Linked DNA regions of Drosophila melanogaster. The protein of the gene in region 1 purifies or fractionates together with the protein of each later gene. This does not show direct contact. Each region holds a gene or a part of one and is shown in the gene's direction. Other genes may lie near its edges.

What was found.
Region 2: the proteins of endos (region 1) and elgi purify together in Drosophila melanogaster (affinity purification with western blotting, with the first as the bait; one study listed by BioGRID). This does not show direct contact.

Annotation. Positions count from the first base shown.
Region 1 is NT_037436.4:14,019,475-14,035,665, reverse strand, and holds endos (endosulfine), read left to right. Parts: upstream 1-3,959; 5' UTR 3,960-4,277; exon of another isoform or gene 4,278-4,358; intron 4,359-4,435; exon of another isoform or gene 4,436-4,663; 5' UTR 4,664-4,673; coding exon 4,674-4,859; intron 4,860-5,245; coding exon 5,246-5,419; 3' UTR 5,420-6,087; downstream 6,088-16,191. Other genes in the region: CG6661 (uncharacterized protein), read right to left, coding at 1-741; CG6650 (uncharacterized protein), read right to left, coding at 1,670-1,921, 1,983-2,709, 2,769-2,933, 3,023-3,241, 3,296-3,438; Ptip (PAX transcription activation domain interacting protein), read left to right, coding at 6,822-6,896, 7,276-9,819, 9,877-10,407, 10,482-12,078, 12,185-13,486, 13,548-13,779, 13,842-14,445.
Region 2 is NT_037436.4:15,949,359-15,965,586, forward strand, and holds elgi (early girl), read left to right. Parts: upstream 1-7,191; 5' UTR 7,192-7,391; coding exon 7,392-7,481; intron 7,482-7,564; coding exon 7,565-7,707; intron 7,708-7,780; coding exon 7,781-8,225; intron 8,226-8,280; coding exon 8,281-8,446; intron 8,447-8,508; coding exon 8,509-8,612; 3' UTR 8,613-9,075; downstream 9,076-16,228. Other genes in the region: Pka-C3 (protein kinase, cAMP-dependent, catalytic subunit 3), read right to left, coding at 5,167-5,229, 5,293-5,398; GXIVsPLA2, read left to right, coding at 5,862-5,951, 6,030-6,189, 6,253-6,695; CG17032 (uncharacterized protein), read left to right, coding at 9,908-10,025, 10,330-11,150; Brr2 U5 snRNP complex subunit, read right to left, coding at 11,636-12,121, 12,180-12,462, 12,518-12,692, 12,757-16,228.

The DNA of each region.
Region 1 (16,191 bases):
CATGAGCGCCGGACAGAGGGCCAAGCTGGATGACAAGGCCACCGATTCAAATGGTGCCAGTGCGGCCACAAATCCATCCATGGGTCGCAAATGAAAGCTGGGGAATACATTCATATCACCCTGGATCTCAAAGCGCAGCTCGGACAGATGCTCCAAATAGTCAGCATTGGCCCTCAGCGATGTGAGTAGCCGCCGAATGTCCCGCGTCGCATCGTCGGCGGTTTTGCTCAGCGTCATCATGAGGAACACTCTCAGCCGCAGCTCGTCCTCCTCGATAATGGTGGCGGCACGTCGCCAAATGGCCAGTCGCTGGGCGATGGGAACTAGACTCCAAGTTCCTTGCGCCGAAAGAGCAGACTTAATTGCCGCCTCGATTTGCTTGCGATTGGCGTAGTAGACGTGAGCCAAGTTCGTCTGCAGGTGATGCGGGCAGCAAACACGCTGAGTGTCCATGGTGTACACTGTATCATCGCCGATAATTGTGGGCACCTCCAACGGCCTGTGCTGAATCTCCTGAATGGCATGATTAACTAATACTCTCTGGTTCCTGTGAATACTTGGATTTTCTTCCGCCGGCTGGGAATCCGGCTCGACCTCTTGTTGGTCCTCATCCTGTTCCGGCTGGACTGCTTTCTGCTTGTCCACGGAGATTTTTGTCTCGCCTTTAATGATAGCCATTCCACCAAGGCGACGACATCTGAAGGACCATCGAGTGGGGACCGCGAGTCCCAGCTTAAGCATTGCTTGGACAATTTTAATTTGAAGCTTTTAACAGGAATTTATTCTACATTTGCCAGTTTAATATTCGTATACTTAAGTGTATAAAAATATATGTGTAATGTGTGTTTAAACAGTGCGTTTCGCCGATGTAAGACAGTTGTGGAAAAGGCAGTTCGTTTTCTAAATCCAAAGGCATTCAAAACGAAGCAGATTGCAATAGTTCTATGGCCTGGAAACAACAAAATATTAATAATAATAAGACCAAACAATTTGTGTAAGCCATAAAAATAAGAGATTTACAAATTCTTGAGAATACAAATGTATTTGTAACAGAACGAAATTTAAGCTCATAACATTTAAGGTCCAATTATCACATACTTTTTGTTTCAAATAAAAATGTTTCAAATATTTCGACAAATACAGGGAACTTAAGGTCACAACTATCTTTCAGTGCTGAATCGCTTGTTTAATTCGTTGAGGCATTTTTCATTATGATTTGAAACCAAGTGCGCAAAACAAATTGTAAGTAGGAATGGCTCAAATATGTCAAAAAAGTAAAATTAGTGACTAACATAACTTAGGACTAGGTGACATTCGTTTCCGAGTTTCGATGCTGTTGCATTAGGAATAATTTTGAACACGTGGAATTTACGTTTATGATGAGAAGGCATACATATACAGAATTCAGCATCTTCGCCTAAAACTCATCTGGATATGTGGTCTCATGGGATTCGTTGCTTTCTTCGTGCTATCGGTTGAGCATATTCGTCAGATTTGTGTGAAGGTAACGCGTTTCTAAGGTCACTAAGGTGCTAAACATGCCGAGTTCATGTCCATCCAGCGGGGGAATGCATCGGGGTTTCGTCCTGGCCTTCTATTCGAGTCTTTCATTGCAGGTTTCTAGTGAAATACTATGCAGTCTTTGCCTGTCCCATTGTGATAGCCGATCCTACAACTGTGCCGCGAGTCCGGAGGCAGAGATGTTGTCGCCAGCCCCAGCCGTTTTTCTGGCTTCGCGACACACCAGCACCGGGGCCACACAGATTTCCACCTCTAGCCGTTGCCGGTGACGACCGTACTGGATATACTCCCGCCAACAGGGCACGGGACTGGCTGCACCAATGCGCATTCGCGGCGCATCCGCCTGAGCCGAGGTGGCGAAACTGTCATCTAGAACCTGCAGCACTGCCTCCGGGTTAATCTGCGGATGAAAGAATTATCAGTTCAAAACTAAAACATACTACACATAAATGCGTACTCACAAATTGGGATTTGCAGACGTATCGGTGAGCAGTGAGCGCTGCCTTTGCAGCGGCAGCACGTGTGTTTTTCCACTTGGAGCCCGCTGTGGTAAGGATCGCCTGATAGGCCAACGTGTGCACATGTATGCGCGAGATAGAGCGACGCTTGGCATCGCTTGAGCTTCGGTCTTCGTAATCTTCAAGGAGACTAATGAAAACCTGCCGCATCTGGTCAAGGGTGTGAGCTATGCGCGGATTCCAGTCGGTGGCTAAGGTCGTCCGTCCGTGAGCAAGAACCTGCTGCAGGTTAGAGAGCTCTTGTTCGTTCATTCCCAGGGAGTCTACGTAGGGCAGTACAAAGTGTCGAAGCTGTTGAAGCAGCTGCAACTCCACGTAAGAAGCCATCTCGAAGTGGTTCAGAGTGCCCTGCGGCTGGCTGGTTAGTTGCCTTTGTACTTGCTGCAGGCGCGCCTCTCGCTCACCAGACTTAAAGGTGAACATGTCCATCATTTGCAGCCCGCTGACAACCAACAGCTGTGGCTGATACATCTTCAAAGCATCCGTCAACTGCTCCACGGCCCGCAGATGCGGATTATTTCGATCGTTGTGCAGAATGTAGCGATTGGCGCGAGGTGCCACATATGGGCCCCATTTGTCACCAGCCTTGTACTCCAGAATAAGATGGATGTCATCGTTTGGAATCTCGTCACCAGCCAGACGAATCTCCTTTGGCAGCAGTGGCCGCAGCCTGAAGAAGTTTTTACATTAAGTTCCATGAAATAATTTGTTATTCAGATAGGTAATTACTTTCTAGACATGTGGGCGCCCAGTAGCACTTGAGCTCCCTCCATAAAAAAGCGCACGGCCATCAGTGGGGCGTTACCACCCATGTACCAATTGATCCTCTCCTTGTCCATCACCTTGGCGTAGCCCACCAGCTGTGTGAAGAGGGTACTGTTTGCCATCACTCGCCTGAAAAGTGGACCAGTATGAAATACTTTGTTAGTAACTTGCATAGCCAATAAAATATTGGATATCCAAGATCCTTCCATGCAACTTACTCCGCTGCAGCGCCGTTCTGAAAGTAATAGGCAAAGGACTGCAAGAGCTCGTCCTCGTTGTTCACGACCGCCCGAGATCCTGTAGTGGCTGCTGCGACTGGAATCCGGCGCCCATAGTAGCGATCCAGAAATTCAGTGGCGTTTATCTGCAAGTCCGTGCAGGCTCCGTAGCCGATGGCCACCTTGGGTGCCGGTTCCAACGCGGTCCGCTTCAGGGATCTGAAATACAAATGCATATATAGCTAGTGCTGCAGTGTAGCCGAATGAACTCACCCCTCGATTGCCAGGAGACCGGTGAGCAGGACAGTCGTCCTGTTAAGCGTCTGCAGGGCGATGAATGCCTGCCAAATTATGGAAACAAAGGCCGTTAGGACGGAACAGCCGGTGATCCATCCCATGTATCGCAGGGCGGTCATTGTGGGCGTGGATTGTTGTGTGATTGGTTCGCCTCAGTTTGGGCTTTCCAAACTATTTTGTATGTGACAATCCGCCTTCCGGCTACGCCAACTTTCTTATCAGAATTATCGCTCTTTTTCCTTTGAGATGCTTCAAAGCTAGCGATGACACTATCTGCAGTTCTTGGACTACAGCGATAGTCCAACCAACAGTTACATTTGAATGCTATACTGCTATACTATATTTGAATATATTAAAATAAATTTAAATTGAAATGTGCACTTATAAGAGCGCCCTCTCAATGTGTTAATTTGTTCAATGCATAGAACAGCTTACATTGTGTTTAAACATCTTTTTTTGAGCATATTTTTTCGCTAACATATTGGGAATATGTATGTTTATTTGATCCTCGTAGTTTATATTTTAATTTTTTAAGCAAACAAATAAAATTGCAATTGCTTATCGATGACAACAATGGTTTGAGCCACAGCTACTCGAAGCTGGACAGTTCAGTATTGAGCAACTGTAGTTTCGATAAACGATATGTTCCGAAATAACGCCTTCTGCTATCGAAGACAGTCTTGCGTCTGTAAAGTGATAAAATAATTTTACAATTGAGTCGCCTTGGGAATTTCAGTCACTCTCCACACACCAAATACATAGCTCGTGTAACAGCCTGATTTAGTCGAACAGCACATCATTTGCCGGAATCGTTAGCGAATAGCAGCACTCTCCGCTAAGTCGGCACGCTAATTGGCAAAACCGATTCGATTCCAGGGAAGGAGACACACTGATAGACGGGTGAAGAACAAAAGGAGAAGGAAAACAACAGTTAATCGTCAAATTTTACAGGCAAAAGGTGAGCAACTACGCCTTGCACACAAACAACCGCATCGACGAGCAAACGCACGCACACACAAGCCTTATCGCCTGCGTAGTGGTTGGTGTATATAAAAAATTAAAACAATATTTGCACATCCGATTATTACTATAATATTTCGCGTCCACATATATTAGCAAGTGTGCGTGCGCCTGCCCTGGATTTACGTGCCAGTGTTTGTGCGAGCCTAGCGCGTTTGTGTCTGTGTGTGTGTGTAATGAAATGCAATTTTCTCTTGGCATTTTGCGCGCCTCCGATTTTCGCTGCCCCTCTGCAATTCCGCCGCCTCCCCCTCCTTTTGCCATTTAAGTTCTCCCGTGTCGCCATTGTCGCACCTTGGCTAATCCCAGTACTATCACCCGTAGGCAGCACACAATGAGCTCCGCGGAAGAAAACAGCAACAGCCCGGCCACCACGCCCCAGGACACCGAGACCACCGAGCAGGCTAACCTCACGGATCTCGAGAAGATCGAGGAGGAGAAACTCAAGTCCAAGTATCCCAGCGGAATGCGCGTGCCGGGCGGACACTCGGCCTTCCTCCAGAAAAGGCTGCAGAAGGGGGTAAGTGATTAGCACAATTCGAAAACAATCAAACAATAAGTTTACTAACTTTCGGTGTTCGGGGATACCCAAACCCTGTAATATGAATATCAATTAAAAATAATAATAATAATATTATTTAGTAGTATTTAGTACCCGTTGTTTAAAGGAAAATAACAATTCATGTTTCCTCTATTCTAAGATCCATACTATTTGGCAATTGCTTTCTGAAATCAATGAAACTCAATAATCACAGCGCATAGTTTATATCAACTTGATGATCTGGTAAACGAAATCAGATTGTTACATTAAGTTTGCATTTGGAAGATATCTCCGTTTTAGTTCTAAAAAGCTATTTGATTATATAAGAGAAATCTAATATGTATTCCTTCATATCCTTCCCACAGCAAAAGTTCTTCGACTCGGGCGATTACCAGATGGCCAAGCAGAAGGGTGGCGGCGTCAAGCAGGTCTTTGCCAACAAGGTGACCACCGGGGAGGCCATTCCCACGCCCGAAACCGTGCCGGCGCGCAAGACTTCGATCATCCAACCCTGTAACAAGTTCCCGGCGACGAGCTAATTTACTCACCACTCAACACTCACCTCTACTGTATCCACAACCTCAAGTGCAGCCAGTTCTCCGTTCCCCACTTCAAATGCTCTATACCTAATTTTAATGAAAAACCTAATGCTAAGATGGCTGCTGCCGGATTGTGCGGGCATTTCGCGACAGTTTAAACTGAAATTCTAGCACCATGTTCCGTGTTTCCCCCGTTAAATTCAATCGCCATCCGCACTGGCCAATCAATCTCAAGATCAACTCATCAGTCCATCTCTCAGGCCGGGGAAGCGAAGATGGCGAGCCGAGCAGCGCGAAATTTATTGCAACAGTTATATATATCTCTATCTTTGTAACATTAAACTAACTTACCCTCGTCGTACATAGTTGTAAGTATTACGAGCATAATAAATTTAAGTTGGAGCAGCCAGCCACACACACACACACGTTCTCGTACATTACTGGGATTCCATCAAAAGTTTTTAAAAGTTCACCATGTTCTATGGAAAATGTTTTTATATTTTTTTTTTTGCATTCATTCTATAAGCAGTTGACGGAATTTCACCAACTAATTGATAATAACATAGGTACTGCTGCTTGCAGAGCTAAATTTTTGATGCAAAAACCAAACAGTCGAGTTAAAATGAATTTGTAAATCAAGCAGAGCTAAAATAAATGTATGTACGTATACTTATAAATGTGTTGATTTCCTGGGGCGCTAACCCAACAACTGAATCGGAAATGTGCCATACAAATGTTTACTTAAATTATAAGTGCCCGGAGTGGAGTCTAATTAACTAGGAAACGTTCCTTCGAGCGGTGTGGTATGGTAATTGGTTGTTCAAATTGGACGGGAACGAAATGAAATCACCAAAATAGGTGGGAAATACACAATATTTAATACAAATAGATGGGTTCATATATTTTCATACGAACATCGTGTTTTAGTTAAAAGTTAATCGAACTTGCAAAGTGAGTTTTAGGCCCAATTAAAAAAGTTTTAACCAATAAAATCGCTTTTTGGACCACAGTACAAATGAAATCAATCAAATATCCAAGTTTTCCACCAATCGATACCAGCAGATTAAGCATCCATATTGCCACACTTCTGGAACTATCGATAGTATCGCATAAACAGTGTTTTGTACCAACTCTAGGCGGAAGGCGCAGCGGTGATAAAAGAGAAAAAGTGATCTTTAAATGCAATTTTTCGGTTCCAAATTGCATTTGTTATGTGCTACGCGATAAGCACCGCATCGCACACCGTTTTTCGAAGTTCGCAAATGGCCAAGATCAGCGGAAAGACGAGAAAACACGCTGCAATGTAGATGCCCACGAGCAGCCGCGGCAGCAGCAATAACAAAAGCAAAAGTGAAATTAGCGCCGCCAGAGAAGTGCAAGTGGTCAAACAAACGGCGGCGCCATGGAGAACCTCAAGATAAGCGACAAACTGTTCGAGGATGTGATATACTTTGTGCTGGGAAATCTGGACGAGGAGGTAAAAAGCTGCAAAGCGAATCTTTCGTTTGCTGTTGCTGTACTTGCATTGTGCGTACGTGTGTGTGTGTTTGTGTGAGCGGGTGTGCGTGCGTCTCACAGGGTGGGTTGGAGCGCGGGCGGACAGGGTAACCCGGGCACCTTGGCAAATGCGCGCCATAAAAGTTGCCGGCAAATTGCCGTGTTTGTGTGTTTGTGTACTGGAGTTTGTATTGGTGCTAAATCAACTGATTTTTGTTTTGGTTCTCCTCTACCAACGGAAGCAACATATTTGGCACCCTTGAAAAAAGAATTCTTATTTGGTCACATACATATATCTTTTATATATACTGTTTAAATCAAGTAATGTAATAAATAATTATTATGCCTTTGCCTTGCAGATCGAACGCTTTCTTAAGAGCGGTGGCGCTCAATCGAAACTGTTCCTGTCGGACCAAATCACCCACATGATATGCGCCACCAACTACAACGAGGAGGAGCTGTCCATGAACCTGGACCTCTACAGTGCAATTCCCGTAACGGAGCAATGGATCGTGCACAGCGCCAAGCTAGGCCGAATGGCCTCGACACGGGCTTTCGACCCGAGTCCGAATCAAATGCGGTTGATGCGCGGCATTCGGGTGGCCATCACCAATGTAGTGGCAGGGGATCGAAGGCGTCTTTACGCCATGCTGACATACCACGGTGCCGTAGTCACGCACAGCTTTGGGGCCACCAACACGCATCTGGTGTGCGGTGCAGCCAACGGTGGCATCTACAACAAGGCGCTGGCCCTGCCCAAGAATGCCATCATTATTGTGACGCCCGACTGGGTGACAGATAGCCTTAAGTACAAAAACTGCATGCCCGTGGAGACGTATCATCCGAGACTGCTGAAGCCCATTGAAAAGCAGCGAACACAAAAGCAGCAGGCTACGCAGCAGCAACAAATTCAGCAGCAGCAGCAATTGCAGCACCAACACCAGATGCAGCAACAACAGCAGCAGCAGCAGCAGCAGCAACAACAACAACAACAACAACAACAACAACAACAACAACAACAACAACAACAGCAGCAGCAGCAGCAGCAGCAACATCAACAGCAGATTATCCAGCAACAGGCAACGGCTACTTCTGCCCTATCTGACATCCTTGGCTTTGGCGAGGACAGCGTAGCTGCCAAGAGCATCGCTAGCATTAAGTCTCAGCTGCAGGCTTCAGCTGAACAAATACAGCAGCAACAGCTGCCCGTACCCGCACAGCAGCAGGTGGTCTTTGTGCGCCCACAGCCACAACCCCAACAGCCAGCACAACAATCCCCTCACCAGTTACAGCAAGGTGGTCCTCAAGCACCTACTCCTGCACCACACCCGCAGCATCAACAACAATTAATAATTCAGCAGCAGAAGATTATCCCCGCCAACCTGCAGCAGCAACCACAAAACCAGCAGCAAATCAAAAATATCCTACAGCAGAGACAAATGAAAACAACGCAGCAGTCTCAGCAACAGCAACAAATCCAAATGCAACTAATGCAGCAGGAGCAACAGCCGCATCCTCAACCACTTCAACAGCAGCTTGCGCAACAACACCCGCAACAAATCGCACAGCAACTTCCACAGCAACTTTCTCAACAACATCCACAACAAATTCCTCAGCAACAGCAGTCGCCCCGACTGCCAACGACTCCAACAGGCCGGCAGACACCACGTACACCATCTACAACGCCGCAGCCCGTGCAATCCCCTCAGCACCACCAGCAGATAGTTCAACAGCAACAGGTGGTGCAGCAACAAGTGGGCCAGCAGCAAACGATGGTACAGCAGCAGCAGATAGTTCAGCAACAGCAAATTGTTCAGCAGCAAGTTGTTCAGCAACAGCAGCCACAACAACAATCTGTGCCGGTTTCGCCGCAAATCATACACCAACATCTAATGCGGCAGCAACAAATTTTGAACCAGAATCAAATGCAATTGCAGCAAATCGTGCAAAGCGGACAAGCATTGACGCCGCAACAGCAGCAGCAACAGAGACAAATTCAACAACAGCTGCAACAAGTTATGCAGCAGCAGCAGCAATTACAGATGCAAATGCAGCAGCAACAACAGCAACAGAATCTACAACAACAACAGTCGCCTCGGATGGTGCAAAACCGTTCGCCGGTAATGCCACCAAGTACGCCATCCCCATCGTTGCAGCAACAGCAGCATCATGCAACTAGCAATATGTTGCCGCCACAATCGCCGCGACAACTGCAATCCCCAGCTCCCCAAATGACTCCGCCACCTCCGCCCTCGCCGCAAAACGCCCAGCAACAACATTTGCGCCAGCAACAGCAAATGCAACAGAATCGACAACAGCACATGATGGGCTCGCCACAACAACCTCAACCACAATCTATGATGTCGCCGCAACAGCAGCAACAGATGCAGCCCTTTCAACAGCCCGTCCATCAACAGCAGCGCATGCAATTGCAGCAGCAACAACAATTGGCCCAACAGCAGCAACAACAGCAACAGCAGAGTCCCCAGCATATTTCTCCGCAATCGCCCCAGATTTCTCAAACTCCACCCATGCAGGCAAAGCTGCATCAGCATCAGGTGGTTCCTGGACAAGCCACTCAGCCGCAGCAATCATTCTCCCAGCAGAAGCCTATCGACCCAACGGACCCCGTTCAGGTAGCTCAAGTGCTCAGTCGATCTGCATTGAGCAGCAATCAGGACTCGTTGATAATGAGGCAGCAACAATTGAAGCAGCAACAACAGATGCAACAGCAACAACAAATGGCACCGCAGCCCCAGCAGCAGCAAATGGCACAGCAACCGCAACAGCAGCAGCAGCAGCAACCACAACAGCAGCACACCCCTTCTCCGCGACAATCGCCACTGCAACAGCAACCTACTACCCCCACCTTGCAACAGCAGCCAAACCAACAAAACGCTCAAGTAAAATAAAGAACATATATTATTTTTTACCGGAAATTAATGATTACTTCTTTTTAGCAAATACAGCAGCAACAACAACAACAACAGCAGCAGCAGCAGCAACAACAACAGCAGCAGCAACAACAGCAGGTCCTGACGCAGCAACAGCCACAGCCTGGACAACAGCAACAAGTCATCACTCAGCGCCATGTTATAAACACATCCACGGCTCAAGGACAACAAATCATTCAAAGTCATATGTCTTTGGCCTTGCAGAAGCAGCAGCAATTGTTGCACGTTCAACAACAAGCACAACAGCAGCCGCAGCAGCAACAACAGATTACTCAAGTGCAGCAACTGCCACCGGCACAGCAGCAGCAACAGCTTCCGCAACAGCACCAAGTTCAACAACAACAACCGCAACAAGTTCAGTTTACACAACAGCAGCAAATAGCACTTGGAGCTGGTGGTCAAGTGCGGATAATTCAACAAACCATACAACGTCCACCAACCAATGTTCAGCAACAGCAGCAGGTTCCACAACAACAACAACAGCAGATTATTGGTCAATTTCCCCAGCAACAGCAGCTGCAACAACAACCACAGCAGGTATGCCTACTCTTAGTTTTTTGTCTTTTTTTTTAAATATTTACCCCAATAAATTTTCGTTTGATTCACACCAGCAAATTTCTGGAGTTCAGCAGCCACAACAACAGCAGCAGCAACAAAAGACCTTTATAATTAGCCAGCAGCACTTTAATCAGCTTAGCGTACAACAGCAACAGCAAATCCTAGCCCAAAATCCGCAGAGCCAAAACGTTTACGTGGTCAATCAGACACAACAGCAACTTGTGCAGCAACAACAAATGTTGCAGCAGCAGCAGATTATACCACAACAGCAGCAACAGCAGAGGATGCAAATGCAGCAGCAGCCGCAGCAGATTGTTGTTAACCAGCAAATACTCAGTGATCCACAGCGCTTGCAGTACCTACAACAACAGCAGTTAATGCAAAAACAGCAACAGCAGCAGCAACAACAGCAACAACAACAACAGCAGCAGCAGCAGCAACAACAACAACAGCTAGTGGGACAACAACAACAGCAAATCCTTATACAACAGCAGCAAACGCCCCAACAACAGCAGATACTGCAGCAAAAACTGTCCAACGATAATCAGCAGCAACAAATAATGCAGCTTATCACGCAGCAACAACTGCCTCAACGCACGCCGCCTCCGCAGCAGCAGCAACAACAACAGTTGTTGCTTCAGCAACAACAGCAGTCTCCACAACACCATCCACAAATGCAGCAGCAGCATTGGTCACCGCAAAGTCCTGCTGGCGGTCAAATGGCGTCCAGCACTCCAGGCACACCCACCAGTGTTGGGATGCAATCACCCCTGCCCGGTGGACCAACAACGCCGCAGCCGCAGCCTCAGCAGCAATTTGTTCCGCGTGGATTGCGGCCGCAAACCTCTTGGCCCGGCCAGCCTCAACAGCAACAGCCTCAACCCACTCAACAACAGCAACAGATCGTGCTGCCGCCACCGCAACAACAACAGCCGCAGCAGCAGCAACAGCATCTTGGTCAGCAACAACAGTTGGTAATGCAACAGCCACAGCAACAAAAAATCGTGGTGGACGAAAAAACGCATGCACACCTCATGTCATTGGATGCTCACAAAAGAGCCGAATATATTACTAAGTTGAATCAGCAGAACAAACCTCGAGTAATGCTTCGCCAACAGGTTGCCTACCAGCCGCGACCTGGAGCACCGGGCAGCATAGTAGCGACGCGACCGGCAGGTCCGGTTCCGCCCGGGCACATTATTGTCCAACACCAAATGCCACCCGGATTAACACAGCAGCAACAAGTCCTCTGGCTGCAACAGCAGCAGGGAAAACGACAGGTTGTTGTACGCGCCGGAACACCTGGCTTGAGTCCGATTCAACAGCAGCCAGGAGCGGGACCACAGCAACAGCAGCAGTCTCCTCAACAGCAGCCCTTCAACCCCAATGATCCCAACCAGCAAATGCTGATGCAGCGGCAGCAGTTGCGAGTCCAGCAGATTCCCATTCAGCAACAGGGACCTCAGCAGCTGGGCAAGCAAACAGTGCAGCTTATCACCGGACCCAATGGTCAGCTGATTGAACAACAGACCATCGTCCAACAGCCGCAGCAGCAGTCCGCACCAGGCACACCTACAACTCCAGGAGCAGGAGGTGTTCTTCCCGGAAATGCCAACATAATGACGCAAACTTTGGTCATGACATCAACGAGTAAGTAAATGCATTTGTCTGCTACAGTGACTTTTACAATTATACGAATCATCTTTAATCATTAAAAAAAGGACAATGCACATAGTAACCAATTCCTTTTGCACAGCTCCCGATGGACAGCCGCAACAATCACCGCAGCAAATGAACCTCAAAACGAAGACAGCCCTGGCCAACATGTTGAGCAATCGCTTAGGAAATAATGGAGCTCAAACACCACAACAGCAAATAATTCAACTTCCCGATGGACAGCAGCCACAGCAACAGCAGATTGTACAACAGGTGGTGGTGACCGGAGCCATTCAGCAGCAGCAGCAACAATTACTATTACAACAGCAACAGCAGCAGCAGCAACAACAACAAATGGTTGTCCAACAGCAATTACCACCACAGCAACACGTCGAGCCACCGTCGGCAGCTGGTGCTCTTAGAATGATGGGCCAGCAACATAACGCAACAGCCGGAGTTCCTGGACCACCGCGAACTCAGCAGGAGTTGCTCATGTTGCAGCAACAGCAGCAACAACAACTGCTGCAACAGCAGCAAATGCGCAGAGTTGTCGCCCTGCCACAACAGCAGCAGGCACCGCAGCAACATCTAGTCCAACAACAGATCGTAGTCGCTCCGACACAGTCCCCCCAGCAGCAGCAACAGATGGCTGTGGGAGTGGGCGTGGGTGTGCCAGTGCAGCGGACTCCTCACGGCTACATTCAAACTCGTCCTGGTCAGCAACCGATCCCTATGCCGCAGTTCTACGGGCACAATCCGAACCTAAAGTTACCAGCCGATCTCTTTTTGGTGGGCTGTACGTTCTACATTGTGGAATACGATGAAACAGACGGTGATGAACTGCCCATTTGGCTAGATACGATTAGACAGTTTGGCGGTGACATCGAACGTGTTTACTGCCCCCGAGTAACCCATGTTATTTGTCGCACTCAGCGTCATGGCGTGGTGATGCAGGCGTTGCGGGATGCCAAGCGCTGCGTCACTGCCTACTGGCTGAGTGATATTTGCTTAAAGCGCCAACTGATGCCACCGTGGCAGCCGTTGCACCTACCGTTCCCCAGCCAGTTTGGCTATCGTAAGCCCCTAGAACGCTACATCATAACCTCCGAGGGATTTGAAGGCGAGGAGGTTGTGAGACTACAGCAGATGGCAGAGGAGTGCGGTGCCATCTACACATCCTATCTGTCCAAGGTGAACACAGTGGTCGTGTGCAAGCAGCTCGAGGGCAACAAGTTTAATGCCGCCAAGGAGTGGAACATACCGATGGTCAATGCGCTTTGGTTAAGCGACGTGTGCATCGGTAACCTTAGTGGCCTCTCCCAGTATGAGAATCCCAAGTATCAGCAGTACAACTTGGTCGCTCCCTTCCGCATCGAATGCAATCTGGTGGCTCATCTGCTAAGTAAGTACAAACTAAACTCGTATTATATTGTAAAATCATTTGACGATTTGTTTCTTAACAGCTGCTTGGAAGGCGCCCATCAATCTAACTCAGGAGGCACACGAACGGGTCAAGCGACACTTATCCGATCCTTACGGCAACGAGCAAAAACTTAAGCGCCAGAAGATGAACGCATTCCAGCAGGAGCAGCTGCCAGAGCAAATTGTCTGCGTAGAATATCCAACTACCACCAAACCACCAAAGGTCATATTTTCCCAGGTCGCAGATGCCGAGGCTCTTAAAAAAGCTGTGTTGTAAGTATAATACAACGTATTCTTAGTTTCGTTTTTTAACTTTTCCCTTTTTTTTTTTTTAGAATTTTGGGTGGAATTGTGGTGGACAGCCCTGCAGATGCCACTCACCTGGTAATGACACGCGAGAGTCGTACATGCAAGCTAATCCAGGCCTGCTGCCACGTCGATTATGTGCTGAAGTCGAGCTGGATTGCTGATAGTGCCAAAGCTGGTAAATTTGTGCCTACAGATCCATACCGCATTCAGCACATACCGGTGGACGAGAACCTGCAGTTCAATCTGAATACCGTGCTGTGCGCCCCCACTCGTTCAACGCTGTTTGCCGGCAAATACTTCCATGTGACGCCGGACGTGTTCCCAGCTCGCGAAGAAATTATACGAATGATTGAATCGTCTGGTGGTAAAGTGGAGCCGAAGCGGAGAAGCGGTGCATCTGTGGCGGAAACACACATGCAAGCGCCCGATTCCTACATCATAGTAACCTGTCCCACGGACATGCATCTCTGTGCGGATCTCACGCGGCACGGAAATCCCAAGTGTCATATCGTTTCAACGGAGTTCGTCATGAGCTCGATACTCAGGCAGCAGCTGGAGATTGAGCCCAATCTTATACCATACTTGTACAACAATAACAATGTCAATAGCTGCAATAGTAATAAGTCCTAGCGCCGAGTGTTTTGGTTGCTGTAGAGCTGAGATAAGGTCTCAGACTCGCTGTATAGTCACAAAAGAATTTATGCGAGCTGTTATCAAATACGTATGGGTATGACATTGCCACTGCGCAATGTCATTGGCCATTGATGTTGTAGGCCGCGCCAATTTCTTATGATATACCAACGCGAAACTAGTCCATAGAGTTCGTCAATTCAATCGGGCATGCCGGAACGAATGAGTTTATAGGGTCTCGGGCACATCGGCATATCGGTCACAGCTAGACAAATTTATTGCATCCCCCTACTTTAAAATAGTTAATTTTTTCAATTTTTTCAAAGCGCCAGCTCAATTTAAATTGTAAATATACTTGGGAATCGAAATCTTTTCGTTCTTAATCTTCTTGTAATCCACAAGTAGAATCTATAATTATATATAGAGCGATCCATATTTTTGATGTGTTAATGCTGATTGGTATTAATGCGGATCGCTTAAATCATTAGGTTTATATAAATGTACAAATATCTCTATTATTTCGCAAAGCTTGAACAGTCCCCAACGAGTTCTTAGTTTTCAGAATCGTTAATTGTTCATAATTAATATACAGCTCGACCGATATGTATAGAAATATATAATCTAGCGTGTAACAAAGAACTACCTTAATTAGTGTTACGATAACCAGTTCAAACAATCATTTTATATATTTTTGTAGGTTCCGGAACCTTCACCTTTAGGAAGTCACGCAAATATACACATATTATTCCTAAAGTATACGAAATGTTTCACAGAAATTTATATTATCGGCTATTAGGATGCTAAGTACTTTTCACTAGGTAAAGCCAATATTTTGCGATTTAATATTAATTATAGGTAGGCATTGTACGAATTGTATGAAAAATAAAAATAATGTTAACTCGAAATGTGCCTGTATGCGATTCTCATTTTTCAAATTTCGGGGGGAATGGAATATTTTATTCAACAATAGATTTATTACGAATTTAAAGCCACCGATAACCACCTTTAAAAATGTTTCACCCGCTTGGAAGTTGAAATTGGAAATGAAGTAAAAAATCAATTGGTATATTTTCATTTTAATTTCGTTTTATTTGTGTTTTTCGGTTTTTTGTTTATTGTTAAAGAATCTTATCAATTCATTTGTAATGTATTTTACAGACAAAGCTTGTTTGCCGACTTCTTTAGGCATGCTTGTGTTTGTGTTTAGTAAACAATTAACGTGTTTAATTTACATCTGTTGAACCAAAGTATACTTACGACTAAAACCATTATGCTTAGACTTACAATTCAAATTCGCGCTTACAAAGAATCTAGGTGTAGAGTACAAATTATTACGAGTAGGTATTTCCAACCAAATAAGTTATAAATAATTTCGTTTTCCTTTATGCTAGAACTATCAAAAACTATTACGAAAATTACGAACTATTGTCCAGTTATGTATAGATAACTAACAAAAGGTTTTATATAGGTCTTGTTTGTATTGTACAGCGCTAAAAAAATTAACAACATACTTTTCATAAAATCGGCTTAGTAAAATATTTTACACTTACGCGATGATTACATTATAAACGTTGCATATGCATATTTACAAAAATAAATGTTAAATTAAAACTAAAAAGCGCTTCGCCAAAGACCACCTGCATGATTTGCTTGTTAGAATTAAAATTGCATATGTACAAGATTATATATACTATTGCCCCTCAAAAGAGATTGGTAAACACTTTTACAACTTATGTTTTTTACAGC
Region 2 (16,228 bases), 1.9 Mb from region 1:
TCGCAGTTGTCTTACCTACGTAACAAATGTCTTCCCCCATTGCAATTGACACGCCTCAAAAGGCAACCGCTGATAAACCTGGATTTACGTAAATATATTTAACTGCGTCTCAAGAAATATTAAGTATACGTATGGATATGCATATCTATATCGCTTTATTGTAACCTATTGTAACCTTGCAATTGTAGAACGTTTTGATATTTGCGAAAAATACCACTCAACAATTTCTTGGAATATTTCCTTAAGCAATCGCTTTGTTTTTTTTTATTATTATTGTTATTACGCATACATTAATTTTATGAACGACTGTCACTCAGGATTATTTACGTACGCGTTCGAAATGTTTGGACTTTTTCGGTAGGAAAATATGAAAATGAAACGCCAACGCATTAAAGTGCGGAAATATAAATTAAAGTTGTCTAAGGCAAAGTGCATGGATTGTTTTGAGAATAATTTTTCAAAAATTATTGTAGACAATCACTCGGGCTGTAAATTAGCAAAGCGACCAAAAGAACCAAGAAGCAGAAACAACCGATCTCAGCCGATCGTTCAGTCCTATATGCAGATATATATATATATACATATATATTCACATATGTATACCCACTTACACTCTGAAGATCGGCCCCATTCACCTTGGCGGCTGCCAAATTTGAAAATGGAAATGGAAATTGGGGTCGTCGTTGCCAGCCAGCCAGCCAAATGTTAAATTGTTGCCTAATCTTCCGGTGGCCAGCACTCTGTTTTTTTTTTTTCCTTCTCTTGTAGTCGCTTCTACTTTTCGTGAATGGAAAACGCAATAAAAAGTATATACTATTGTATATGGCTCGTACTAACGTTAAACTCAAGAATTAGTGCCTGCGAGATAAGATGCTAAGATCAGGTGAATGGGGTGTGAGATTTCGCAAGATCAGGGTTATCTGCTTCTGCAGAAATGGATTTACAAATTCTGATTAAGAGACGGATTCCGTGCAAGGGTCAATAAACGTTTTATGACGTTTACTTTAGAAAAGCTACGCCAAATAATATACAAATTTCGAGATAATATCTTCCTATTTGCACTTTTTCCAGAGAATGGAACCCCTAACAACTTGAAATTACTTATATTCCTATAAAATCCATTCAAAATATTTCTACACAAATCCCATTTATGAGCTGAATTCAATAAATTATTCGGTATAACTTTTATGCTTAAGGAAATTTCCTCGAAAAAATTATGAAACTTTTCCCATGGGCCTTAGCTCACCTAACATAAAGACACTTGATTTATTCGGAAAATCAGCGAATATATTTTAAAATGCTGAGCAAAAGAAGATTTCCTAATCTTGTGACTGCAAGCCAATTGACCTTTTGATAGGGGAAATTAATTTGGGGTGCAATGTTTGCAACATTTATTAATTCGTTGGGCGACCTAAGGCATAAATTGTGTGCTTAATTAATTCAGAACAGCGCGAGGCGATTTGTTTAAAAATATGTGTTCACGAATTTATAGATAGCTTACTTTTTCATAAAAAGAAAGCGTCTCATATTAATATCATCGTCATCGGTGTATTTTCGAATTTCCAAACAGTCAAAGAGAATTTGCTGTAGGCGTTGTCATTAATAATATTTTTCATACGCCAGGATATGTAATTAACTGAATAAGTGCATTCACTTGAATTAATGATGGGGGTGTTACGAAAACGAAAATTCATTGGCCATTTTCGGTTGACGAAATAAGGATTGTCGCTCCCATGCGTTTCTGGCTAATAAAACCCAAATGGCAATAATCGTCAAAAATAATGCCGGCTAAATGCAATCATAACATAAATACAGCGACACGCTTTGTTTTCCTTACGAGTATTTTCACTGGGATCTGGTTGGTTTTCCCAAACTCACATAAGGACGATACAGATTTATGGTCTTGGATTTGTTTTTATGGAGCAAGTACTTCCGTTGTCCTTGTGCTAGTTCCTCACTTAAGTTGCCACTGCTGTAATTGGCTAGGCAAACATATAAACATTTATGCGTATGGAGAAGTTGGGGAATAGATTTCGAAAGTCCTTGACTGAGTTGGCGAAGAGTTATTGAAGCGCGACATGAAGAAAAGCAATTTAAATGGGGTCACCTGAATGCAAATAGCTGGCAGATTTTGAAAGAAGCGGAAAACTCGAATATTATCTTTCTTGAATTATTAAGCATAAGTAAATCATACATTTTTGGAATTTTTTATATATTTACCATTTGTCAGTGAAGAATCTAATAATTTATCACGCTTTCTGAACTTTGAAATGTTCAAGAAAATTCAAAATATTTTACACGCCTTTTTTAATTTATATATATGTGGGATATATGGGATATATACCATTAAATCAGACATTTTAGCATTTTATTCTTATTTATATTTATCATATTTATTTTAACATTATGACGAGTTAGATCTTCCACCTCTATTTAAATGTTTAAAGACGCATTAATCTACGAATCTAACGAACTTAATGACTGCATTAGCAAGATCTCAAAGTATCTAAAAAACCCACACTTTCCAACTTCCACTTCCACTCCAAATATCAAGATTTAGCCCGCCATGTGAGGTGTAATTTGCTAATTGTACTAATTAAATCGGCTCGCCTAATTATAGTACTCAAAGCTTAATCATCAAACGAATTTATCTCCACATTTTGTTTCTATTTTGGAAAGCAAGCATTTATGATTTGTTGCTGGCTGCTGGCTTCCACTTTTTACACTACCCACGATTACTCACCGAGCTAAATTTTGAGATCCAAATTTGCCGGCCGTCGTCGTTGCCTTTTGGTTTGGTTTTTGTTTTGGTTTTTGGTTTTTTTAGCCTTTTGGTTTTTGTTTTTCTTTTTTTCCTACTTAACGATCCCACAGCCGATCTATATTTATTGTTGTTGTTCAGGTTGCGATTGTCTGGTTGGTTGGTGAGTTCTGATTCTGATTTTTTGCTGGAGCAAAATTTGAACGCTTGCGAAATTGTTAAAAATAAATATGTTACTTTAAGAGCGCACGATTTTCCGCGACTAGCCGTCGATTTCGATTTTTCCTTCGCTTCTGGCCGGCAATAATAACAGAAAAAAAGGCGAAAAAACCGCTGAAGCCGACACAGAAACAGAAATAAACTCAACACTCAGCGTTTCTCGGCGGGAGGGGGTATAGGTATAGGTATTATGGGTGTTATAGGTATACGGGGGCCATAGGTATTATTTTTTGCGGATCGACTGGACACAGCGATCGCGATTTGCTTTATTTGTGTCACTTTTTTCGTGGGTTTTTCTTCGGTTTCTTTTAGTTGTTGTTGTGTGTCTAAAGGTGCCGCTTTGTTTTGTTTATATACGCTGGGATCGTGAGATCCGAGAGATCTAGAATTTCCGGTTTTTACAGCGCAACTTGCAGTTTTTCTTCGGTTTTTTGTTAGTTTCCTCCGCTGAACCAGCAGATTGCCAAATTAGTCCAACTGAGCGCAATTAATCAAACGTGATGATTGCAAACTTTGAATAGGTTTTGTTTTTTTTTTTGTTGACTAGTCTGAAGACCAATGTCAAATTTTCCAATTTTCTTTCGAATGATTTCTGAGTGTTCTGTGGTGTTTTTCTTGGGTTGACCAGCCGCTTCCACGTTTTGCACGAAACTGAAACGTAAAATCTGCGAATCGCTTGCCACAGCTCTCGACGTCGACGTCAGCGTCGCAGTTGGCAGCACAGTCGTGGTGGTTCGGAAAAGGGGGCGGCCTGGTCGGGAGGGGCGGGGCAGTGGGCAATGATGACGATGGTAATAATGATGCTTCTGCTGGCAGCCAAGGGGAGAGGGAGAGATGGCTTCGGGATGCTCGCTTGATAGTCGGATGTGTTTGTGTTTGCTCTCCATGTGTGCAGATATTTGGTTTTGGCCAAGTGTCCCGAGTGCCGTTCCATTTGAGGGCCTAAACGCTTTGGCGGCAACAGGATCATCGCCATCAGGATGGCGGAGGCGGTCCGGAATCACCGATGGCGATAAGGCGGCCAGCATGGTGTGCGCCCTAATTGACAACACCATCACGGAACTGAAAGTCTTTGCAGCGACCAAAATCTACATACATACATATATATATAATAATTAATCTAGAAGATACATACATTGACAAAAAAGTAGATATTTTGTCGCTGCGAAGACAATAATTTACATATTTTAACTGTTCTTATCATATTTTTTTTGTGTAATAACAACTTTCATTACTATCATAAATAAGAAAATGCAAAATTATATTTCTTATGAAATATCTTTTTATCTTTTAACAACGTTTAATAATAGATTTTATAGACGTTTTTATCTTACGATTTTACCTGATTATTAAATAAATATAATCCTAATGTTGGGTAGTTTTTGGATTGGTTTTTCTTTAACTGCTTTAACAGACACATTGCCTGCGAAAAGTCGGAAAATTGTAATAAATGTGGGATTTTCCCAAGTGTAGGAGTACCAGCAGACTTTTCGTCAGCAGTGAATTTTTAAATATTCCAAGAAACACTTATACCTATTTATGTTTGTGTTATTTCAACAAATATTAAGACTTTTGGTTATTATAGTAGAGATGGAAAATAATGCATACAGGATGTAATTCAGATATGAAATACATACATGATGTACATATTGTACATAAGTTAACCCTACGATTCAAGCCAGAAGTCGTTTTAAATCAAAAGGTTTATGTGTGTTTTTATGGTGGGGGTGTTTTTCCTCAGTGTCTTGTTTGTTTTCAGTAGACTTTGCGGCAGCGCCGATTCGTTGCTGAGAAAATCTAGAAAATATGTTTTGTGTATTTACGAGCCCTCTGTTTCGGTTTTAAGCAAACAGCGAGCGCGCCTCTTTAACGGTTTTCGGGTGTTGCGTTCGCATGTTTATGCACGTTGATTTCGCTGGCCGTTGTAATAAAGGCCAACAAGGTCAGGTGCAAACGAAATGCGAGTACGAGTGACGCCTGCGTGCCACAGTCTCATTTCAGGTGCCGCATACAATTGCCGTGTGCATTTCAATTTGATGTTATAATTAAGCGAAGGCAGGCACGAGATGTCAGCAAGCTTTGCGTTTACGTTTTCTGTGCGCGACTTTTTTTTCCCTATTTCACTATTTCGTTTTGAGGCTGCTTCAGTCCTGTTTGTCAAGTGCAAGGACACTGCATGCACTCACCTCTTTGAGTGGGCGTGGCAAGTCCTGCCCGCAGACCGGAAGCCGAGTCATGGTCGCCGCAGACTGTAAGGCATAAAAATGTTAGTATCCTTGCCGCACTAAGTATAATTGTGGGAAACAACTCACTTAGCTTCCAGCTGGAATACAAACCGCAGCCGAAATTTGCGAAGACACTTGCGCTGACTCTGCAAGCCACTAAAATACGTTCCAAAAATATATGCCACAAATCCATTTAAGGAAAATTTTGTTTATTCCCAATTTTTTGAATTTTCCCCCCTCGAAATATCGATGTATATGTATTGTCAGTTAAATGTTTTGAGTTGTCTGTACCAGATGGCGCCAGTGTTCTGAAATTCAATTTACTTTTATTAATGTATAGCATTAATTGTAATACTCTCTGCAAAGCCAACAAGATTTTATTTTTCATAAATTTTTTTGTTTTATAAATCATAACGTATTTTATTTATAATATTTAAAAACGGTTTTAAATTTCCCATTAGGATTTTTTGAAATGTCAGGACAGTGCCTAAAAGTATGCAACCTCATATGCAGTTTGGTATGATTTCCGAGCCGGTTGGTATATTTGAACGATGACGCCTGGTCACACTGCTACAAATGTCTTTCGCATAGTTTAGTTTATTATTACGCGCAAACAACAAATAGCTGACCCTTCAAAAACGAATTAAACAGCGAACATGCAGTTCTCTTGGATGAAGGTGGCCATATACCTTCTTACGTTCCTAACCTACGCCTATTCAGGCTATGGATCCAGCACCATAGTCCACGTAAGGTGCACCGCTTCTCGTAGGAAATCTGTGAGAGCTAGTATCTGTTACTCCTGTATCTTCTCTCCCCGGATTTAGCTAAGGGATGCCATTATAGCCGCGGAGGCGATCTTTGGTGACGTGTTCAAGAACCTGATAGTGCTGGTGCGCAAATTTCGCACGGTCCACGAGGTTTTCGATGCGGCCGTGGACGAGAACTGCATATACCAGTGCCCCGCACCGGATATCGGAGGACCAGGTGTGGTGACGCACTGCGCATTATGTAAATTCCCCAGCATCCATATGTGTGTTTATCTTACAGCGCCCAGAGCGGTTCAGAATAAGTTCTATACCCCCACCGCAGATGGATGTGGTTCCTTGGGCCTGAGGATCAGCACAGACTATCTGCCGGCCAAGGAGATGGAGACATGTTGCAATGACCACGATATCTGCTACGACACCTGCAATAGCGATAAGGAGCTGTGCGACCTGGACTTCAAGAGGTGCTTGTACAAGTACTGCGACAGCTACGAGAAGTCCATAGCCAGCGATCTGATGATGAAGGGCTGCAAGGCGGCTGCCAAGATGCTATTCACCGGCACATTGACCCTGGGATGCCGCTCCTATCTGGACTCCCAGCAGAGATCCTGCTATTGCGCCCCGCCGAAGAGCTCCTCCTACAATGGCAATAGGCAGGGTAATAGCAATAGTAGGGAGAAGCAGCAGCGCCAGAAATATGGCTGGAAGGATCGCAACGAGATATAGTACAGGATCACTGGCTACGAGGGTGCGGGGACCTGGGGGTATCGGATTAAGCGTTAAATGTTTTATGTGTTGTGTTAGTCTATGAATTGGGTAGCCATGTCCATTGGACTCCCTTTTTGACGAATTTCATTATTGTATACCAAATAGTGGCATGCCAACGGTCCAGACTGTTAAATACATTGATATTTTTACCTATTATAAAGATGCTATATTTTTAAATCAACTGTGCGCTGATTAATCACCGGTGGCTTATGCTGACGTGGTCCTTTGGGCAGGATATGTATATTATTTATTAATCATATGATCGACAAGTGTGTAAACATATTTTAACCAGGACGATGACGTATTTAATTTGTTAAGCTGCCTGGCCAAAGCTAATTTAATAGTACAAATAAATGAATGGAGATCAAACAAGAATTCTATTATATCAAAAATTTTGACTTTAAGTCAAACTTAAGTTTAAAACTAAGGTGGAACAGAAAATATCTCAATATTTTCAAGCTAAACAGTTATTTTAAGAAGCCATTTCTCGCGGATTACAGCTGAAGTGCCATCCTAGCTTTCCAACACTACTCAGTCACACTACACAACACTGCACTGACTGAACCGAAAAAAAAACACACAGATTTTGCAATCCGCAGAAAAGAATTATTAATAGTATTTTTATGCGGATGGCCAGCGTGCTGAGGACCTAAGATGGGCTACGATGTGAATCGCTTTCAGGGGGAGGTGGACGAGGAGCTCACCTGTCCCATCTGCTCCGGAGTGCTTGAGGATCCGCTGCAGGTTTGTTTTGTTTGCAAAGAACGCACACCGCGAATCATACATATGCTTTAAATACAAACAATCATACATATCTACCGATTCAGGCCGTGATGTGCGAGCACGCCTTCTGCCGCGGATGCATTAACGAGTGGCTAACCCGCCAGCCCACTTGTCCGGTGGATCGAAATTCCCTGACTACTGCCAACTTGCGGGCAGTGCCTCGCATATTGCGCAACCTACTGTCCAGGTGAGAAAAACCCAACGCCTTCTACTCTGTGAACCTTGTGGACTCTAACTAATCTTTGACCCTTGCCAACCAGACTGTCAATCACCTGTGACAATGCGCCTTATGGCTGCACGGCTGTTCTCAAGCTAGACGCCTACAATTCCCATTTGGACGAATGCATTCACAATCCGAAGCGACCATTTCCCTGCGAGAAGGGATGCGGCTTTGACATACCCAAGGATGAGCTAAAGGACCACAACTGCGTGCGGGAGCTGCGCACTTTAATTGTCAAGCAGACGGAAAAAATGGGTGAGCTCAAATCGGAGCTCACCGACCAGCAGCTGACTATCAACGAACTGAAGCGCGAGCTGCAGCTATTCAAGGACTTTATGCGTGCCATGCGCGTCTCCAATCCTGCGATGCGGGCCATAGCCGACCAGATGGAGCGCGACGAGGTGATCCGCTGGAGCAGCACACTGCCCCGGGCCAGGGTTACGCGCTGGGGGGGAATGATCTCTACGCCCGACGATGCACTGCAGGTGAAGCCCAAATTCTAAATTTTTTTAAAACGTTAACTCACTTTTCATTTGATAGCTCATGATCAAGCGCGCTTTGTCCGAGTCGGGCTGTCCGCCACACATCCTGGATAGTCTTATGGAGTTCTGCCACGAGCGACGTTGGCCCCGTGGGCTCAGTTCGCTAGAGACACGTCAAACCAATCGTAGGATCTACGACAACTATGTGTGTCGACGCATTCCAGGTAACAATTTTAAACATAAATATTAACAACAAGGCTTTATCTTTAAACTTACTCTTCCGCAGGCAAGCAAGCTGTGCTCGTTTTGAGCTGCGACAACCTCCACATGACTGAGGACGTCATGATCGATCCAGGTTTGGTCATGATCTTCGCCCATGGCATCGAGTAGGCCCTCAGCCGCTGATTAACCACTTATCCTAGGTTAAATGCTAACTATATCGAACAGTGCTCAGTTTTGTTGATTCCTTAACGTAAGAGTAAGCATTAAAAACAATATTGTAAGGAAAAACTCGCAAAACAAACCATTCAAGCGCCTCATGACGACTTTCAAGTTGTACAAAAAATATATATTACTTTCGGTTCATTGTGTTTTATCCATTTAGTTAGTACGCAAATTCGTATACATCATCAAGTCGTTCGCATATACCCAATATTACATGTTTGATTAAGCGATCTCAACAAATGTCCCTTTGTTATCGTTCACTTCATTCTCATTTTGATGGAAGGAAGCTGTGAATGTCCTAATTCGCGTTTAAATTCGTATTGCACAACTTACTTAAATTTCTGAAATATTTGTCAATACTTTTAGATTAAATGTGGAAAGAGTAATAAACAGTTTATTTAACTAATGTATTCATGGAAGAATTTATTACTATAATAAACCATTTGCTTTTATAATTGATTTCTTTCAATTACGAATTTAAATTGTAATAGTATGTTACAACAAAATTCCATTTATTCATTTATTTAAGCACTCCCATGAATTATTTTTCTGAAAGATTGTCTAGCCTTTTAGATTAGAAATAGAAATAAAAGTGATTATTCCAACTAAACCGATAATTCTAGCCTCTTATCAGCTGAAAGGGCAGACAAGCGTCTGCCTTTGGAAATCCTACACAAATGTTCACTGGGATGCCCCCCACTTGCAAGCACCAACTCATTCGGGGAGATCTGTCCGCCTCCACTCTGTGGACCCGTAAAAGTTCTGGACAACATCTGTTTCCCGAAATGGAAATCGAAAAGCAACAAAAACCAAGCAGCAAGCAACCAAGCAACAAAATAAACAAAAGAAAACCAAACTAGTTCCTCCACGAGCTTTGGCCGCCAACCGGTTTCGGCTTTTGTACACCCGTTTTGTTTTTTTCCTACATAATACAACATTATACAAAGTTTGCATCGGTTACATGTGCCAAAAATCGTTGGATTATACAAGCCAGTTTTGGTTTTCAATTTTTTTCTTCGTATTTGCCGAACATCTTGAATATTGATAGAAGCAATTAGCGCCATCCAGACCAAAGGGGCAGCCCCCTACGGCGATTGAAAGTGAGAGTTGATCGGCCGATTGGCGGCGGAGCGGACAGGCTGAAATATATACATCCAACAGTTGATCGCGAAGCGGCGCAGCCAACGGACGTGTCCAGCTGCGATCTCCAGAAGGCAACCAATCTAATCGAAGAACACGAAATGAATGTATCAATTCCGGTGCTATTTGTGGCCCTCATCTGTCTGGCAGCTGCGTCGGCGTTTCCTCAACTGAGGCAGCGCAACGAGAAGCAGGTTCAAACCGGCGATGATGATTTGCGTAAGTAAAATTCTTAACGCTCGAAAATCTTACAATTCTTAGATTGTAAAACTTCCTAAATACATTTGGAAAATACTTTTCAAATCTGAAATTCTGTAAATATATATAAATACATATCTATCTATAAATTTTTGTGTATACATATGTACACATTCTGTAGTGCGAACAAAGCGTAAAATATTTAGTAAAATAATAGATTGCTCCGAATTTTTTAATAATAAGCTTGCCGATTATTCAGCTTCTATTAATTAAATTAAAATAAATATAAAATATTTTATAAAGTATATACCATTGCATTTTACAGCTTCCAAGGGCGCCACTATCGAGGAAGTAGTGGTGGAATCAGCCTTGTACATCAAACCGAAGTCTAATCCGCAGGTGCGTCGCGTCCGTTCGGTCCTGGATCAAATATCCGGAATCCAGGCCGCTCACAAGAGGGTGAAGCGTCAGTTTGGGCGACAATTTGGTGGTCAGTATGCTGGAAATCCCGGCTTCGGTGGCGGATTCGGTGGAGAGCCTGGTTTTGGAGGTGGATTCGGCGGTAATCAAGGATTTGGAGGCAACCAGGGATTCGGAGGTAATCAGGGTTTCGGCGGTAATCAGGAATTCGGCGGTAACCCAGGATTCGGAGGAAATCCCGGATTCGGCGGTAATCAAGGTGGAAAAGTTCAGGCAGGTACATCGGCCGGCGCTGGGGGAACCAAAGCGGGTGTTGATGTTGGTGCCGGACCAGATGGCGGCAATGCCAATGCCAACGTCGAGTTAAATCCGCTGGGACCACTCGGACCCAGTGGTTACAACCAGGAGCAGGCCGCATCCAACGGAGCTGCCCACAGCAACTACAACAATGGACTCAACTCAGGATCCTCGGCCGCCAGTGGGCAGGCTCAGGGCTTCCAGTCGCAGAGTGCCAATGGATCATTCGGTGCCTCCTCCGCAAGCACGGCCACTCAGTCCCAGAACACCAGCCCCTTTGGATCCAATAATGCGGCAGGTGCTTCGCTGAGTCAGGTTTACCATCTTCCCAATGGACAGACAATAAACTTTAGCTCCACGAACAGCTTCGCTAATGGAGGAGCCAATCGTGGCAGTAGCCATGGATCGGCAGTTTCTGTCAGCCGCTAAAAGCCAAGTTCACCATACAGGGAAAATACCTCCAAGTTAATCTATTTGTCAGCAATCCTATGTGCAAATATCTAAAAAATCCAAATAAATATTTATGATTGAATTGAATTTGAATGAATAATTTGAATGATTTTTTTAAAATCTAAACGGTTGCATTTTGATGATCCAGATTACAAATTACAACAAACTTGAATTGTTCCATACGAAATTTAAAAGCTTAAGACAATATAAGAATTGGCACTGTTGACTACAAAATATTTAGATTCTTGGTATCAACCAGCGAAAGAAAGTTGAAAGGTTTTTTTTATTTTGTTTTTTTTTTTTTTTGTACTACTTTATATAATTATCCTCAGTGTATCCTTGTACAATTTGGTTTCTACTAAAGTAGTACACGAATTTATTATTGCTACAATTAATGCGCGTAAATTGTAAAATGATTGATTTTCATTTGTGCAAACATGCCCAACTGATGATCCTAAAGAAAACTAATCTGACTCGCTTTCGCTTTCCGACTGGAAGTCACCCACTTCGATGGAAAACTTGTACTCCTGATCACAACCCAAATAGGAATCGCTCATGTAGTACAGAGTGTAGTCGTGTTTGCCCGGACTAGGTGCCACAAAGTCCAGCTTGACCTTTGCCTTTTGCTGCAGCGTGAGCCGTTTGATGGAGAGCAGGGAGTTGGTCTTGGGATCACCTATGACGACCCACCATCCTTCTTCGCGCTTCTGCGGGAAGAATGGAGCAATGACTGGGCCAGTGACCTCATCCTCACGTTCCAGTTGAACCACTACATTAACGGTTGATCCTGAGTTGATGCGATCCTTGTCCACCACCTCATAGTTCAGCTCAATGTTGGGGTAACGGTTGCAGAATCGAGCAACATCGGCCATTTGTAAATCGGAGAGCTGCAGCAGGCGAGTGCGATCCTCGTCCTCCAATTCCATGATATCGAAAACGGTTTCGATTTTCTGAAATATACGACGAAACATGAGATAATCCTAGAGATTCACTTGTTGTTACTCTCACCTTCTCTGTGCACCGCTTGACAATCTCGGGACTAAAGTGCGGCAACTGTTTCAAGTACGAGTCCTTGCTCCACATGGCCTGCGTGACCATCTGAGCCAGCTCCATGGCAGCCACAGCCGGCGACAGCCAGCCATTTGAACTCAGCACATCTACGCAGGCCTGAATGAGGCGGATGGCCTTGCTCAGTATCTGCTCCGTATCGCCTTGCAGTTCAGGTCCCAGTTGCAATCGCGAAAGATGAGCCTGAAGCAGCAAATTGGTCTTGATGTGCGGATCATTGAATCTAAAAATAACATTGGTAAAATTCTTTTTAAGATCTAAATGTATGGGTTGCTTACTTTGGAGCCGTTTCATTGGGTCCTGTGAGTTTGTTGGGCAGTCGCTGAGACAGCGTGCGCAGAACCTGCTCCTCATGATGCCTGACCACAACATCCTCGTACTCAGCTGCCGATGAAATAATTTCCAGCAGGCCCCGCACTTTTGTTTTGCTGTTGAGGGACAAACTGAAGAGCTCTGGGAAAAAATGATAGGAAAATGAAGATGACAATTGCCTAAACTTAAATCTAATGCTTCATACCGATAGTTGTGTAGTTGATGTAATAGTAGGCAGCAATCATGCCCAGATTGAGTGGCAGCGTGTCCATATCATCCTCCACGCTAATACACTTGGACTGTTCTAGATCGCTCAGCGTATTCTCCACCAACTCCGAAAGATGGTCGGAGAGATGGCGATGCGTGACACCCTGCAGATTGTAGTAGTTGGGATTTTGGGTCAATCGTCTGTAGAGGAACGTCCAGGTGAGATAATCAACGGCATCCTGTTTGTTCTCAATTGTCTTGGTGACCACCTCGGCGTTAAAGTGATCATGCATTCTATGATCCAAATGACTTTCGATGGGCAGCGGCTCGTTGATGAATTTCTTAAAGAAGTCCTTCTTGCTGCTCTGGCACATCAGCACGCATTTGGCATCCGCATCCTCGTTCGGCCGATTGGCTCGACCAATCATTTGCAGCACGTCTGTAATGGGATAGTCCTCATACGAATGATTCTTGCCATTGTAAAATTGTGTGTCCATGATGATCACCAAGTGAGCGGAGATGCTCATGCCCCAGCAAAGGTCTCTGGAGATAACAGCTACTTGCACGGCGCCAGAGTCAAACAGCTGCTCCACCAGGCGATGATCTGAGGCGGATAGGCCCTCATGGAGATAGGCCACTCCTTGCGCTAGGGTCTCCTTCAAAGTTTTATCCGTCATTCGTTCGAGGAACGGCTTGATGTCCTCCTCCTCAGCATGGAAAAAACGGTTGGGTTGCAAATCCGATGCTGCGTAGGTCAAAACATCAATTGCAGTGAGCCTGGCCTGCTTTCTGGACGAGACAAACACAATCACCGGCTTGTGGGCGCTGTACTTGAGGATGGCATTGTAAACAGGCTTGGACATCGTAGCAATTCTGGTGGCGTTGTGAGTGACATTATAGCCCTGGATGTGCAGCTCCAACGGAATGGGACGCACGCTGGGGTGGAAATTGAAAGTGGCATTGGGATTACAGCCCAGCCACTGGGCGACATCCCTGGCATCCGTTAGCGATGCAGACAACGCCACTATTCTGATCTGTTTCTCAATCTGCGAGCTAATGTATCGCATCCTGGAGCATACAATTTCCAAAACGGGACCTTCTTCGCCACCAACCAACTGCAGTTCGTCCACAATGAACAGGTTCACCAATTGTACGTTCTTCCTCTGTTTCCATCTGCGAGACAACACATCCCACTTATCCGCAGTAGTGATCACCAGCTGTCCCTTGGCTATGAGCTTAAGATCGGTTCCAGTTTCGCCGGTCAATTTAACCACTTTTATGTCCAGGGATCCAAATTTGCTATGCCAATCCGCAAAAACTAAGTCCGCCAATGCCTCCTCCGAGACCAAATATACACATCGGGCATCGGATTGGGTAGTGAACAAGCGCATGATGGCAAACTCTGCAATAGTCATCTTTCCGGATCCGGTTGGTGCTCCAACAAAGACATTCTCATCACTATTGTAGACTGCGTTGAAGACCTGTGTCTGAATGGGATTGAATTGCGGGAAGCGTTGCGAATAAAAGGATTCAAACTTCGGCTGCCGGAGTGCACTAATAGGAAGCGGTTGGAGATCCAAAAGCTCCGTAGGTGGCATATTCTTCTCGGGCAGAATCAAGTGTCGGAAAGAAACTGGTAATTGGGTCTCTGCACCTATCCAACGATCTGAGACAATGCGAAGGAAGTACTGCGGTGGCAGAGGTTCAAAGACAGGCACAAAGAACTTAAGCTGGTGCTCATCTTGGGAATACTTCTGCTTCAGCAGGAAAAACTCATGATGGAGAATGAGTTCCGAGTCGACATCTTCAATTAAAACCCAGAAACCTTCCGACTGGCCATGCACCTTTTCATCCCATTGGAAATCCGGTGTAATTGTTAGTTCCACTCTCAGAGTTCCCCTTGTTATGGGTTGAATGTGCGTGGAGAGCTCCAATTTGGGGAACTGGTGCACAAACTTGTGGATGGTCTTTCCTAGCTTGGGCACTCTAATCAGCTCACCAAGTTCATGTGGCTCTAGATCGTAAAGCCTGCCCCAGGGGAAGTGTTTTTTCTCCAGCTTCTTGGCAATCTCATCGGGCATCTTCTTGAACTGCCTAAGTGGTGTCATCGATTGCCACATTCTTCTGTCGATCATCTTGCAGAGCGTCAACGTTTTGTCCGCCAATTGAGCCCATCCGCGGGTCAATACAATCTCAAAAATGGCTCTCATTAAACGGGCAGCGGATTGGGTAATAAACACCATGTCCGACATCAATGCAAAGCCCTCCAGTTTCAACTGGGAGATATAGGCTTGCAGCAAAACATTCACCTTGGCACTGTGCTCTTCAATGGACTCCTTAATGGGAATGGGCACTCGTTCCATGAGCTTCTGCAGCTCCAACTTTTCCTCTTCTCGGACGGAAATATGCCGGAATTCCGAGGATAGGGAGAATACGCGGAACAACTCAATCTCACTAAGAGTTTGCTTAAGGAGCTGGTTGTAAGTCAGCATGGTTTCATGGGTTAGGTAATAGTGAGAGGCAATGCGTCCCAGATCAGTAACCTGAAAGTGTCCCGTCTTCCGATCGTATTTAATAAGGCCACTTCTCTCCAGACAGCAAGCTGCGGTATGCAGGAGATCAGCACGATGCTGTTCCAACAGAGGATCAGCCTTGATGGCATCATGGGAAACTCCGTACAACGTGGGATTCCTCAGCATTCTAATGTACAGATAAGTGTAGCCCAACCAGTTAACTGCATCCTGGAGATGTTGGACCGTTCCTAGCACAATCTCCGCATTGAGCATGTCAGGAAGCTTGGAGATGAATTGGGACTCAATCGGCAACTGCTGGTTGAGCAAGGAGAGATAGAACTGCAACTCACTGTGATTGGTTATAAGAATACCCTCACCCTTGGTATCATACTGCGGTCGTCCAGCACGACCCAACATCTGCAGTACATCCAAAGCACTCAGCTCCACCCAACGTCCTTTTTCCGGATTGTATACCTGCGTGCCCTTGATGATTACAGTATGGGCAGGGAGATTGACACCCCAAGCTAGCGTGGCGGTGGAAACCAAAACTTGAATGTGCCGATCAGCAAATAGATCTTCCACCAAAGTACGATCGACGCGGGTCATTCCAGCATGATGAATGGCGAAGCCGTAGGGCAATAACTCCTTAAGCTCTGTGTTCTTTACTTGTTCGGCTTCAGTCCGCAGCACTTCCATGCTTGCTGATCCTTCCTTAAGAAAGCTACCAAGGGTATCCTGCTCCAGGCACATGTCCCTCACAGCCCTGGCCGTTTTTCCAGTCTCCTTGCGCGAGTGTACGAAGACCAGGACCTGATTACGCCCAGCATGCTCCATGGTCTTCTCATAAACGATCTCGTTCATCACCTGGAATCGCTTTAGGGCCTTCTTCTCCGTCACACCGATATACTGCTGCTCCAGGGACACAGGCCGATAGCTGTTATCAAAGTAGAAGAGGCC